3 linked regions of the Rattus norvegicus genome follow. The protein of the gene in region 3 interacts with the protein of the main gene of each other region in a pairwise test. Links are inferred from orthologs where the notes say so. Each region holds a gene or a part of one and is shown on either strand. Other genes may lie near its edges.

Region 1 (3,750 bases), on a different chromosome or scaffold from region 3:
AGATCTGAGAAGGGGCTGTTAAGGCCAGGGTCCAGCCTCGCAGCTGGGGATGCAGGCAGAGTGGCAGGTGCTGAGGCTTCTTCCACAGGAAAGCGTATGATATCAGCACGAGGAGGTGGAGAAAATGGAATTGTGGGTCCTTGTCTTTCAGAGCAGCTGGAGGGGAGACAGAAAGAAACTAAGGCATGCCAGGCTCCTCTCATTAGCCCATTTAGTCTCCCTAACATCTGAGCCCCCTTCACTGGGTCTGGATAGCAAGAGCCCTGTTCAAGGAGGATGCTGGCATTCACCCTACGCTCCAGACCCTCAGCCCTGGGTGAGGTGGGGCATCCCCAGTCCTGCAGCACATACCGCTTCCTGCAACGCCGGAGCCGGCTGACATCAGGCAGGCCAGGTGGATAACCATGCACCTTGGTCTTGGCTGTTCGACGCAACTTGGAGAAAGACTCAAATATGGTGGGGACTGCCCCTTCCTTCAGCCTGTGATACCCACTGTGGGGAAAAGCAGCCCAGATGAGCTAGAGAAAAGAAGGCTGCCATCTCCCCTGGATTCCCAATGTAGGTCCTGCAGCACTAAGGATGAGAGAGGCTCCGAGGCACACTGCCAGTAACACATCTGAGGAATGCCAAGTGTGGTGAAATCAAACTCCTCTTCCCTGTGAATGAGCCTCCAGGGTTGAGGTGAGTGGAAAACCCAGCAGCAGGGCTAGGCGGACCAGCTGGAAGGCCTAGGTGCTAACATCCTACGAAAAAGCTGCTTGTCTTTCGAGTGGAGACCAGCGGCTAACCTCAGGTGCCTTCCTTAATCATCCACCACCTTTGTCTTTAAAGATTTTTTCCTTAAAAACATTTTTTATTTTTACGTGTATGAGCATTTCGCCTATGTGACTGTTCACCATATGCGTGCCTACAGAGGTTAGAAGAGGGTAATGGACCAGTTCCCGACTGTTACAGACTGCTGTAAGCCACTGGGGAGGGGGCTGGAGGGCGGAAACGAACCCGGGTCTTCTGGAAGGAGAGTCAGTGCTCATAACCTCTAAGCCAGCCCTATGTATGTATATGAGTGTTTAGCATGCATGTATATATGTGTACCCATGCCCTCAGCGGTGGACTGAACCCCAGTCCTCGGTAAGAGTTACAGGTGCTCTAAAATGGTTAAGCCATCTCTCTAGCCCTTCGACCTTATTTTTTAAAGACAGTCTCTCACTCAACACAGGGCTCAACAACTCATCTAGACTAGCTTTTCTGTAAGTCCCTGGGATCCTTTTGTTTTGTCTTCTCCAGGATTGGGATTAAAGGAACAAGCAATCACATGTGGCTTTTTATTTGGGTATTTGAATCTGAACTCAGGTCCTCGTGCTTGCACACCAAGTCTTTAGCAAAGAGGGCTATTTCCCCAGCCTGGAAAAGCTGTTTTTCTCTGATGTCACTGGCACGGTGATTCTGGGACCATGCTTTAACTGTACAGAACAGGAAAGAGGCAACAGCACCCTTGACAACCGGTCTGCCTGTCTGTGAGCATGCCAGCCAGATGTTCATGGACTTCACCAGGACAAAGAGCTGCCTCACTTGGCCCACTGCTCTGATGCCTCACAACCTGTCCTGGTGTTGGCTGGCAGAAAGACCCACCTGATTCCCACCAGCTCAAAGCAGTTTTCCTCGAAGTGTTTGGAGCAGAAGTAGATGTACTCAGAGGTCGGATCCCACAGGCCCTGGCCGCTGGGGTCCAGCCGCTGACAGTTGGCCAGCCACAAGCCGCGCCTGGGGTTGTCTTTCTTGGGAAGTCTGCAGAGCCACAAAACCGTGAGCACCAGACTGTCTACAGCCCTGCGTTCAGGATGCCCAAGCTCCCCAGGCAAGAATGACAGACCTCCCCGAGACCCTTTCAGATTACCACGGGCTAGGGAAAAAAGAGAAACTGAGGACGAGAGAAGGAAAGGGGCCTGCTCAGCATCATCTAGTAGGAATGAGGCAGAGCTGTAGATCCAAGCCAGGTAAGCGTCCAGTCTTTTTCGGCTGGACTGGAAACTATTCGGCCTCCCCTAGAACCCTCCCGCTCACAAGTTCAAGCCTCACTTCGACCTCAGGAAAGCGCTGTCTCCTGCGCGGCCTAAGGTGCGGCAACACCAAGCGCCTGCGCATGTGAGCCCTCGCGTGCCACTACGCACGCGCGCTGACCTGTGGAAGGAGATGCCGCGGTTGCGAGTCTCGCGTGTATCCCGTGTGCAGCAGCCGGCGGCGGAGCAGTGTCGCGGCATCTGGGGAAGGGGCGGGATCTGGGTGATGCGCGGCAGTCGGGGGAGGACCGTCTTCACGCCCAGCTGTCACTCCCTCCAGAGGGCCCGAGCCTGTCGGCTCCCCGCGGCCCGACCCCGCACCAGTCCTGTCCTAACTCGTTCTATAGACTCCCGTCAGCGGTACTCACGGTCTTGCCATTGCTGCGCCGCCAAAATCTCGCGATGGGTGGGTCAATGCGGAAGTTGGTAGCAGAGAGACTCCGACGCCCGTGGCGCCGGCCCCCAAGGGGCGGGACCGGAAGAGATCCTGGCGGGGCGGGCCACCGGATGTTGGGATTGATGGCGGGGATCGTCACTGCTGATTTCACGTTCCTGGACTAGTCGTTTCGCCTCCTTGTGTGTCCAAGATAATGGCTGAGAGCCCGCCGTTAGGACGAAGCAGTGGGGTGCGATCTGTAGTGCTTCTTGAACATGGTTGAGACACTTTGGTTGAGAAAAACCTGAGCAAATCTTTGTTCAAAGAACCCGGTCACCCCGGCTGGTGTGATGGCTCAGCACTTGATGCCAACCCTGAAGATTGAGTTTGATCCCCGGGACCCACCTGGTGGAAGGAGAGAACCAACGTCCAGTAATTGTCCTCTGGTCCCCATACATATGCACAAAATAAAATGTAAAGACACAAGGATTCTTAGAGTGACGGTATTAACTGCATAGGCAGAGCGCTGCAAACAAAGGCCTTGAGCCTTCCCACCACCGAGGTGGGAAGGTTCTGAGCCCTGGAGTTTCCAGCTGGGCCAGGCAGCAGCATCTCTTATTACCATTTACTTTATTGTGTTATCTGGCAATCTTGGAGGGTTCATTTTAGATTAAGTTCTTAAAATTAAGACCAGTGCTCAAAATTTACTCCCATAACAGGAAGAAGGGTACAGTGTGCTCCAAGTACAGTCTGGGACATACAATGATTGGCTAGTCGTGGAGGAAAACTAATGGAGAAATGGCATAGCAGGAACTGGGTTTTACAGCCCTTAGATGGAGCCCCACTGCCTCTGTCCTCAGCCCTCTCACAGGACACCGGGAAAGTCACTTCTATGCACTTTATGTGAGGTGGGAGGGACAGTAACATTGTTGCCCTAATTCTCTTATCTAATTAGAAGCTCTCCCCCCCCCCCCGCCCCGCCCCGGAGCTGGGGACCGAACCCAGGGCCTTGCGCTTCCTAGGTAAGCGCTCTACCACTGAGCTAAATCCCCAGCCCCTAATTAGAAGCTTTTAACTGAGTGTACAGACATGCTTAGTAATGTAGAGAGAACACGTGTGTTTCTCCCAGAGGAATTCACGAATTGGCTAATTAGTCCTTCTAAGAAAGATGGATATCTAGACAGGGAATTTTGTTTTGTTTTTAAAGTACAGTGCACAGTAAAAGTAATGCCTCAGTGCAGACACTAATACAGAGAAAAGCATCACTTAGTGTTAACAGTGGGAAGAGCTAAAGGGATGGCTGCCAGCCACACAGCC
Region 2 (3,750 bases), on a different chromosome or scaffold from region 3:
TATTACACATGATCGAGCAGCAGTTTTTTATGCACAGTTTAGATGCATTTAAATCCAATAAAAATTGTCACAGTTATAACGCTTAATGTTGGTTGCCAGCTCTGTGGGAGTTAGAATCATCCATCCCAAAGACAAATCAAACCTTCAGGCATGTCTGAGAGGGACAGTCAGGTTAATTGAGGTGGGGAGACCTGAAGACCTAACACAGGCTAAAGTAGAGAAGTGGCCATCCAGGGTCTGACTGAGGGCTGGGCTGGGCACCCGTGTCCGTTTCCCTTGCTTCCTGATGTGCACCACCAGCTGCCTCAAGCACCCGCTATCATGTCTTCTCTGCCGTGGTGGATGGTGTCTCCTCTCACTACAGATCCAGATGAATTCTCTCTGAAGATGCTTTTTAGCTGGTTTTGGTTTCAAGGAGAGTAGTGACTAATATCGAAATGGCTTTCTCATTGGCCTTACCCAAAAGAGCAGCCACATATACTCCCTGAGAGGTTGGGCTTGGTTGATCTATAACGGTGACCTCATGTTGGAACTGCCCTGGACACCTACTGTGCAGCAAGAGCTAAAACCCAGCGCACATGAAAAGAAATGGTCAAAACACTAGAGGACTGTATGCATATTCAGTGTGTGTAATTAGTGAGCACAAACCCATAGTCTTAAAATTCCCTTAGAGCCTGTCTGGCAGGCTTCTTTTCCTCATTCTGATCTGCTGACTGAAAGAAGTCTCCAGAGCTTAGTGCTCAGATTGTGTTTTTGGTATAGTTTAGGGTAAGTTCCTATGCACTCCTGAAAACAAATGGGCTTTTTACTATGATATTGTATAATTGAGCAGACCAGGGCTATATTTTATTTTTGAAGTATAGGCTTACATTTTTGGCTATAAGTTTAAACAAATGACATTCATCGATATTTTCATTAACTTTACTGTCTAGATACTACCACTTAAAAATCTTGACCTAACACTTGTAGGACTCAAACATGAATTTTTTTAAATGGTTTTTCACTCAAGCACTAACCCCTGACTTTATTCTTGGTGTTATTGTCCATTTGTATTCTAAAGAACAAGGACATTTTGAATCAAGCATAATCAATGCATGTATATAGCATTATTTCTGCCTTGAGAACTGGGAACGTTCTTACCACTACCATTTTCCCATCCAGCAACTTTCTCTTTATGGTTGTCTCTTTACCATCCCACTTCTGCACTTGCTTCAAGGAGCCTCTCTCCAGCGTCACAATGCTCTACAAAGACAAATTCATGTGTTTGGCTTAACTCAGTTTCCATGACAGGTATCTCAACAAATCACATCCATTCTCCAAGTTGCTAACTCCCAAAAGGAATAATCCTGGCTCTCAGTAGTCCATTGAACCAACTTCCAAAGAAAAATATTATGGATTACCTTGGTTTTTCTGTTGTCAGCTGTAGTTTCATCAAACTCCTGGCCCAACTTGAAGGAGATCTCTGTATTTTTGAAGGCACTTTCAGTTCTAATGGTGATATAGTCTCCCTTCTTGCTGATGATCACACTAGGCTTGGCCAAATTTCCAAGTTTTCTGTTGGCTAACCCCACGCCTGAAAAGCAAGGCGTTGTCAGATTGTGTTGGGTAAGGCGGCATATCTGAGAGATGGATTTCATGTCCACGGGTTTCTTGTTACTTATTCAGTGTTACCTTCAATGAGTAGATGGTGGGACTTCCTACCAAGGACTTCCACCGAAGGTTCAACAACAAGAAAAAATGCATATAGGTGACACATTCATTTTAGCATACTGCTACAACAGTGATGACTACAGAGTTTACAGCATAACACTATACAGCTTCAAAGTTTGTCCACTTTGTCATGTCCAGTGGTACCCTCACCATAAAATAAGTCATTTCAGATTTGTATGAAGCATTAGAGACATTTGATATTGTGTTTACAAACATGCTTTCAGCATGACTATCTCCCATCCACACATACTTTTCTATATTATTTTCTCTATCAATAGGAGCTGTGGATATACAGTACAACCCCCCTCATATCCTTGATGGAATCACATTTTTGACATTTTGTAGTTCCAAAATTTGTCTGGTGAGAAGAACAAAACAGAACAACCTGTCCACCACACTCTTCTGTCTGTAGTCCCTGCTCAACACTAGGATGGATAGATTTTGGTGGGACAAAGTTTGAACTCACAGCCGCCAACCAGTTCATTTGATATCAACAACTTGCAAAGGTTTCGAGCATCCTCATTTAGGAAATGTGCCATATATCAAACTTCACACACTTAAATGATTAATTATCAACAAACTCAAAGCAGAGAGAGACACAGAATTTTTAGTTTGGATAAAAGTTAAAATTTTAAACTGTGGTTTCCTAGTATTCAATTCATAATCTTATTACCACATTAATTCCTATTAAACAAGCTTTCAGAAAATGCCAGAATATGGAATGACTCAAACTCTAATATTTCTCCCAAATTTCCAATGACAAACCTGTGACACTGTCTTCAAGTTATAATGCACTTAAATTCTAACAATCTATCGCCAATGAAGTGGAAGTAAATTTTATGAATGAGACAGAAGATTGCACTCAGCCCACACAACATTCCTTAGACTCCTGGGGAAAAAACGTTGGAGAAAACCCTGTGCATCTGTCCATAAGGGGACATTTGCCACGAAGCATTCTCACCTAGAGCCTTCATGTAGTCATCGAAGTGCTCGCTGGAGACAAGTTTCCAGGTGCCTAGGAATTTGTTACTCATTGTGATGGATGAGGAGAGAGTGGAGTTCCTAGTGGGATGCAGCAGTTGCCTGTGAGATGCTGAGATCTTGCGCAGTTCTTTTCAAAGAAATCCAAAGCATGTGACTCACACTGAGACCCAATGAGGAAAGGCAGTGGCTGAGCTGAATGATGAATGGCTCTTAACTCACAAGCTGCCTATCCATGGATGAAAGAAACCACCACACAATGTCCCTGTGTCCATGAAAATAACTCAAAGTATTGTTTGAACCTTTAGAATATTTTTTGGCTCATTTTGCATTGATAGGCATGCTTAAGTCCTTCTATATATTATATGATTTTGTGTGCGTGCGTGTGTGTGTGTGTGTGTGTGTGTGTGTGTGTGTGAGCGCGCACGCACTCACATGCATGTGTGTTGGCATCTTATTGACTTTTAATTCTTCACAATTAAGAGTTCTTTTTTCATATTATTTTTATTGATTATTTGAGAATTTCATATAATACACCCTGATCACACCCATTTCTAGTCCTCCCAGGTCTGCTCCCTACCCTTATGACCACTGCCCTTGAAGAAGAAGGAGGAGGAGGAGGAGGAGGGACAAGTCTAATTTGTGCTGTCCTTATATTCATTGAAGCATCTTGATTATAAGTTTTAAGAGCTCTCTTCAATGGTTTTCTGTCTAGGTTGTTACTTTTTTTGGGTGGTGGGGTCGGGTGGGGTAGGGGTTGTCACAAAATTCTTAAAAGGGGAGACAGTCTATGAGTATTGTGATCAGAGTCTCAAATATGCTGTGGGAGGTAAATGGAGGCCTACAGTTTGAGGACACATTCAGAGGTGAGGGAGGCTTGGCATAGTTTACATATTCTGGGCAGGCAGAGTAGGCAGACAAGAAAGTACAGAGTTGTATTCATGTTAGGATGAGAAGCAGCACTGTAACTTGCCCTTTGACTGTGCCCTTTGACCATGGTTAATATTTCATCTCTCTTTAGGAACAAACCTGAGGATAATTCTTAGTTTCTATGACAAC
Region 3 (3,750 bases):
GACAAGATATTTTTGAAAGTGCCAGTTACATAACCATGATGTCTTGAGTTCAATTCCCAAGACCTACACACTGGAGAAAGGCAGACACACTGGAGTGTACCCATAATGCCAGTGCTGGGGAAGCAGAGGTAGGAGGCTCCCCTAGGGAATCCGTGAACTCCAGGGAAGACTCTCTCATGATCATGTGGAGATACTGGCTTCCACATGTACTCGTATACACATGCATAAGCACCTGAGTAAACACATGCACCCACGTGTGCACATACATACACAGACACAGATAATGAACAATTTTTATAAAGGACCAATTGAGGGGCTGAGGATAAGGCTTGGCAGTTAAGAGCACTCAGTGCTCTTCCAGAGGACCCAGGAACAACCAATAACCATAACCCATAACCCATAACCCATACGGCAGATCACACTGTCTATAACTTCAGTTCCAGGGGAACCAACAACCTCTTCTGACCTCAGCAGGAACCAGACATACATGTGGTACACAGACACACATGCAGACAAAGCACCCGTACCCATAACATAAAATAAAGAATGTAATGTCCAGTTAAGATGGCTCCGCAGGTGAGGACTCGCTGTGCAAGCCTGAAGATCTGAGTTGGATCCCAGGAACCCACAATGGAGGGAGAGAGCCCATTCCCCATGTGTGTGCCTACACACACACACACACACACACACACACACACACACACACACACACTTTTTAAAGAATTAGGTAGGGCAGTAATGATAGGGAAATCACAGTTACATAGCATCTGTACCTTCACATAATGGACTCACTCACTTCCCATATGGAGTGACACAGGTCACTCACATATAAAATTATCTTTGACTTTATTTCACAGGAAAGTCACATGCTCAAAAATGAAGAAAAATAGACATGTATAATGTGTTTACATATAAATATATAATATTACATTGAAGATAAACACATAATGTTTACATGTTTCATGCTTACATATTAGGACACAGTCTACTCCCTTAGCAAAGGTCTAGCCTGTACATCCAACACTACTGTGTATACAGTGACTTACCCTGATCCTTAGGAAATGTGTAGTATGCTGCAATTACTTCCTCAGTGGCAATGTGGACTTGCTCACAGATCCTCTGGGTTTCCTACGAGGTGAAATTCAGAATGAATGGTCAACATTAATGCTGCCAACCCATTTACTAAGGAAGAGATCAGACATCCATAAGCATGATTAAATGTTTTATGAAAACCTGTCATGAGTCAGGCCTTATGATGTACTCTTCCCACAATATAAAGAAATTAGGTAGATACCGGACAATTCTAAAAAGCATTACAAAAGGAAGGGCAGCCTTGGCTATCCTGGAACTGGCTCTGTAGACTAAGCTGGTCTCGAACTCAAGAGAGCAGCCAGCCTCTGCCTCCCAAATGCTGGGATTAAAGGTGTGCAGCAGCAGCAGCAGCAGCAGCAAACTTCTCACTAAAGGGTTTTGTATATAGCAGGTGTTGTTAGATAGTGTGAAGGCATTTAACTTCTCCTCCACTATTTATTGAACCAAGCCTCTAAACAGGCTTACTCATCTGTCAGATAGAGAATATGTATGTGAAACAGCTGTAAATCAACAAGGGCTTTAAAAATTATTAGGAACTAACCCGGCTGAGTTTCAGACTAAATTTAGAAGGTCTTTCTACCCTATGCACTTGGCAATTTGGCCTTTACAACAATCCCATGCGGTGAGAACTGTAATCTCGCTTGATAAATGGGGGAAGTAAGTGTGGCTTGAATGCAAAAGATAAGAAAACTAGAGGATTCTTAAGGAGACAGCACAAAAAAAAAACTCCGGAAGTAAAGCTCACCTGTGGAGATGGCGATGGAATTTTAGAGAAGAGTGTGGTCAGAACAGTGGCTTCCCCAGACACTTTCATTGCTGCTTCATCTGGGGGTGTCAGAGGCAGCGGGTGCCAAAGTTAGTGTTAAAAGGTTAAAGTTGCCACTTGGACTTTTTAGATAACGGGTCCCTTCTCCACCCTTACCAACACTCCAAAACAACTCCAGAAATGGTTTTATATTTCAGCCTCAAGTGCGGAGAATGGGTAGCAGAAGGGATGAGGACTGGGAGGAATTGTCATCTCAGGGGACAGCAGAAGGAAAAGAGGGTAGGATGCAGGGAGATGGAGGAAGAGTCCGCAACGGCAAAGACACTCACTGAGTCTTCTCCAAAACATCTCTCGATTAAATTCCTCGGCTGTCTCCTGGGCTTCGCCGACTTGAGGAAGGCCGGACCACCCGGGAAGCAAAAGACATGTGAGAGGAGCCCTGACCTGACGCCCGACCTCCCTACCCGGAGCCTGGGGTTGCAGATTCCCACAACTCACCCCGTACTCGAGGCAGAAGCGACCGCAGCTCCTCTGCTAAGTGCCGGAGCTGCTCTAGAGGAGGAGCAAGGAACGAGACTGGGGTTGTCGAGCTCGCCATCGCAGCCTCTCTTCGGGAACTAACCCAGACACTTAAGCCATTTGACCCCGCCCCCAGTACTTCCGGTGCTGAAGAACTCATCTCGTTTCCGGCAACACACATCGCGTCCCGCCCCTTCCTCCCCAATGTAGTGAGTCCGCCTTCCCAGGCAGCCTGGCCATCAGTCCACGCCTCCGCCCGCTTAGAGACCCGCCTACCCGAATCCAGCCCATCCAGAAACCTGCCCACGCCCCGCTGGCCGGGCCTAAAGACCCAGCCACGCCTCCTTCACCTGCCCTTGCAAATCTAGAGACTTGTTCAAGTGCTTGTCCCTGACTACCCCCACTACCCCTCCCTCCGTGACACTAGGCCACTCCTTACAGGAAGACCCAGTTAGGCATCTTCTGACCTATTAGAGATTCTTTTAAGTAACGGAGCCTTTTCCCTGCAAAGATGTATGTGGCAGTGCCTGCAGAGGCCAGAGAGGGCATCAGATCACAAGGCCGGGAGTTACACCATGTGGGTTAAGGGAATCGAACCTGTGATCTTTGGAAGAGCAACCAGCACTTTTAACTGCTGACTCCAGCTTCGGTGACTGTTTCTCCTACCCCCAAACACCAGGCCCACTTTCTGGTTCCCATAGGTTTATCAACATTGCAGATCCGTTTGTGATATTTCTTTGTTAATACTTATCTTTTATTATTTTTTTAAATTACGTGTAAGTCTGTGCACATATAAATGTAGGTGTCCACAGTGGCTCTGGCCTGGAACTAGAGTTACAGGCAGTTGTGAGCATCTGACATGGTTGCTAGGAATTGAACTCAGGTCTTCTGGAGGTAAAGTACATGCTCTTAACCACTGATCTCTCCAACCCAATGTTTGTGGTTATCATTCATTCATTTATTAGTTGAAAACAGCTTTGACTAAGGAAGCAGGAAGCCCATAATTCTTGGGAAAACAGGCTTGGAAGTCAAGTCTCAGGAGCGGTAAAGGCCCACTTTCCACAGGTTCCCTAGGCATAAAATGGCATCCTGAATTCCAAGTTTGGGCTGGATGCTTTTCACAGGATGACCCTTAATAAATACAGCAGTGCTGAGGGACTCAGTGACACAGAGACCCCACCCTGGCAATCTCCTTGATTAGGGCTCTTTGCCTCTGAAGAAGAGTCATTCGTTAGACTTTTCTGCAGTCCACACAGCAGGAATCAGTAGTAAACACTTCCAACATTCAGACGTCCAAGGAATGACAGCTTCCTGAAGCTCACCCACTGATACTGGCTTTCCCATCTGCCACTGGGGCAGAGATCTGGGCCACA

The links.
Region 1: the proteins of Ccndbp1 (region 3) and Thap7 interact in binary tests that used the Homo sapiens proteins (3 or more experiments, as listed by UniProt). The two-hybrid records come from large-scale screens. The link is inferred for Rattus norvegicus from reciprocal best matches to the Homo sapiens genes CCNDBP1 and THAP7.
Region 2: the proteins of Ccndbp1 (region 3) and Pmp2 interact in binary tests that used the Homo sapiens proteins (3 or more experiments, as listed by UniProt). The two-hybrid records come from large-scale screens. The link is inferred for Rattus norvegicus from reciprocal best matches to the Homo sapiens genes CCNDBP1 and PMP2.

The regions. Positions count from the first base shown.
Region 1 is NC_086029.1:96,985,982-96,989,731, reverse strand, and holds the start of Thap7 (THAP domain-containing protein 7), read right to left. Parts: upstream 2,459-3,750; 5' UTR 2,426-2,458; exon of another isoform or gene 2,259-2,425; coding exon 2,179-2,258; coding exon of another isoform or gene 2,077-2,178; intron 1,786-2,076; coding exon 1,630-1,785; intron 493-1,629; coding exon 352-492; intron 157-351; coding exon 1-156. UniProt on the Homo sapiens protein: Chromatin-associated, histone tail-binding protein that represses transcription via recruitment of HDAC3 and nuclear hormone receptor corepressors.
Region 2 is NC_086020.1:93,517,769-93,521,518, reverse strand, and holds the start of Pmp2 (myelin P2 protein), read right to left. Parts: upstream 2,790-3,750; 5' UTR 2,745-2,789; coding exon 2,672-2,744; intron 1,574-2,671; coding exon 1,401-1,573; intron 1,243-1,400; coding exon 1,141-1,242; intron 1-1,140.
Region 3 is NC_086021.1:128,414,943-128,418,692, reverse strand, and holds the start of Ccndbp1 (cyclin-D1-binding protein 1), read right to left. Parts: upstream 2,457-3,750; coding exon 2,357-2,456; intron 2,248-2,356; coding exon 2,188-2,247; intron 1,918-2,187; coding exon 1,838-1,917; intron 1,129-1,837; coding exon 1,047-1,128; intron 1-1,046. UniProt on the Homo sapiens protein: May negatively regulate cell cycle progression. May act at least in part via inhibition of the cyclin-D1/CDK4 complex, thereby preventing phosphorylation of RB1 and blocking E2F-dependent transcription.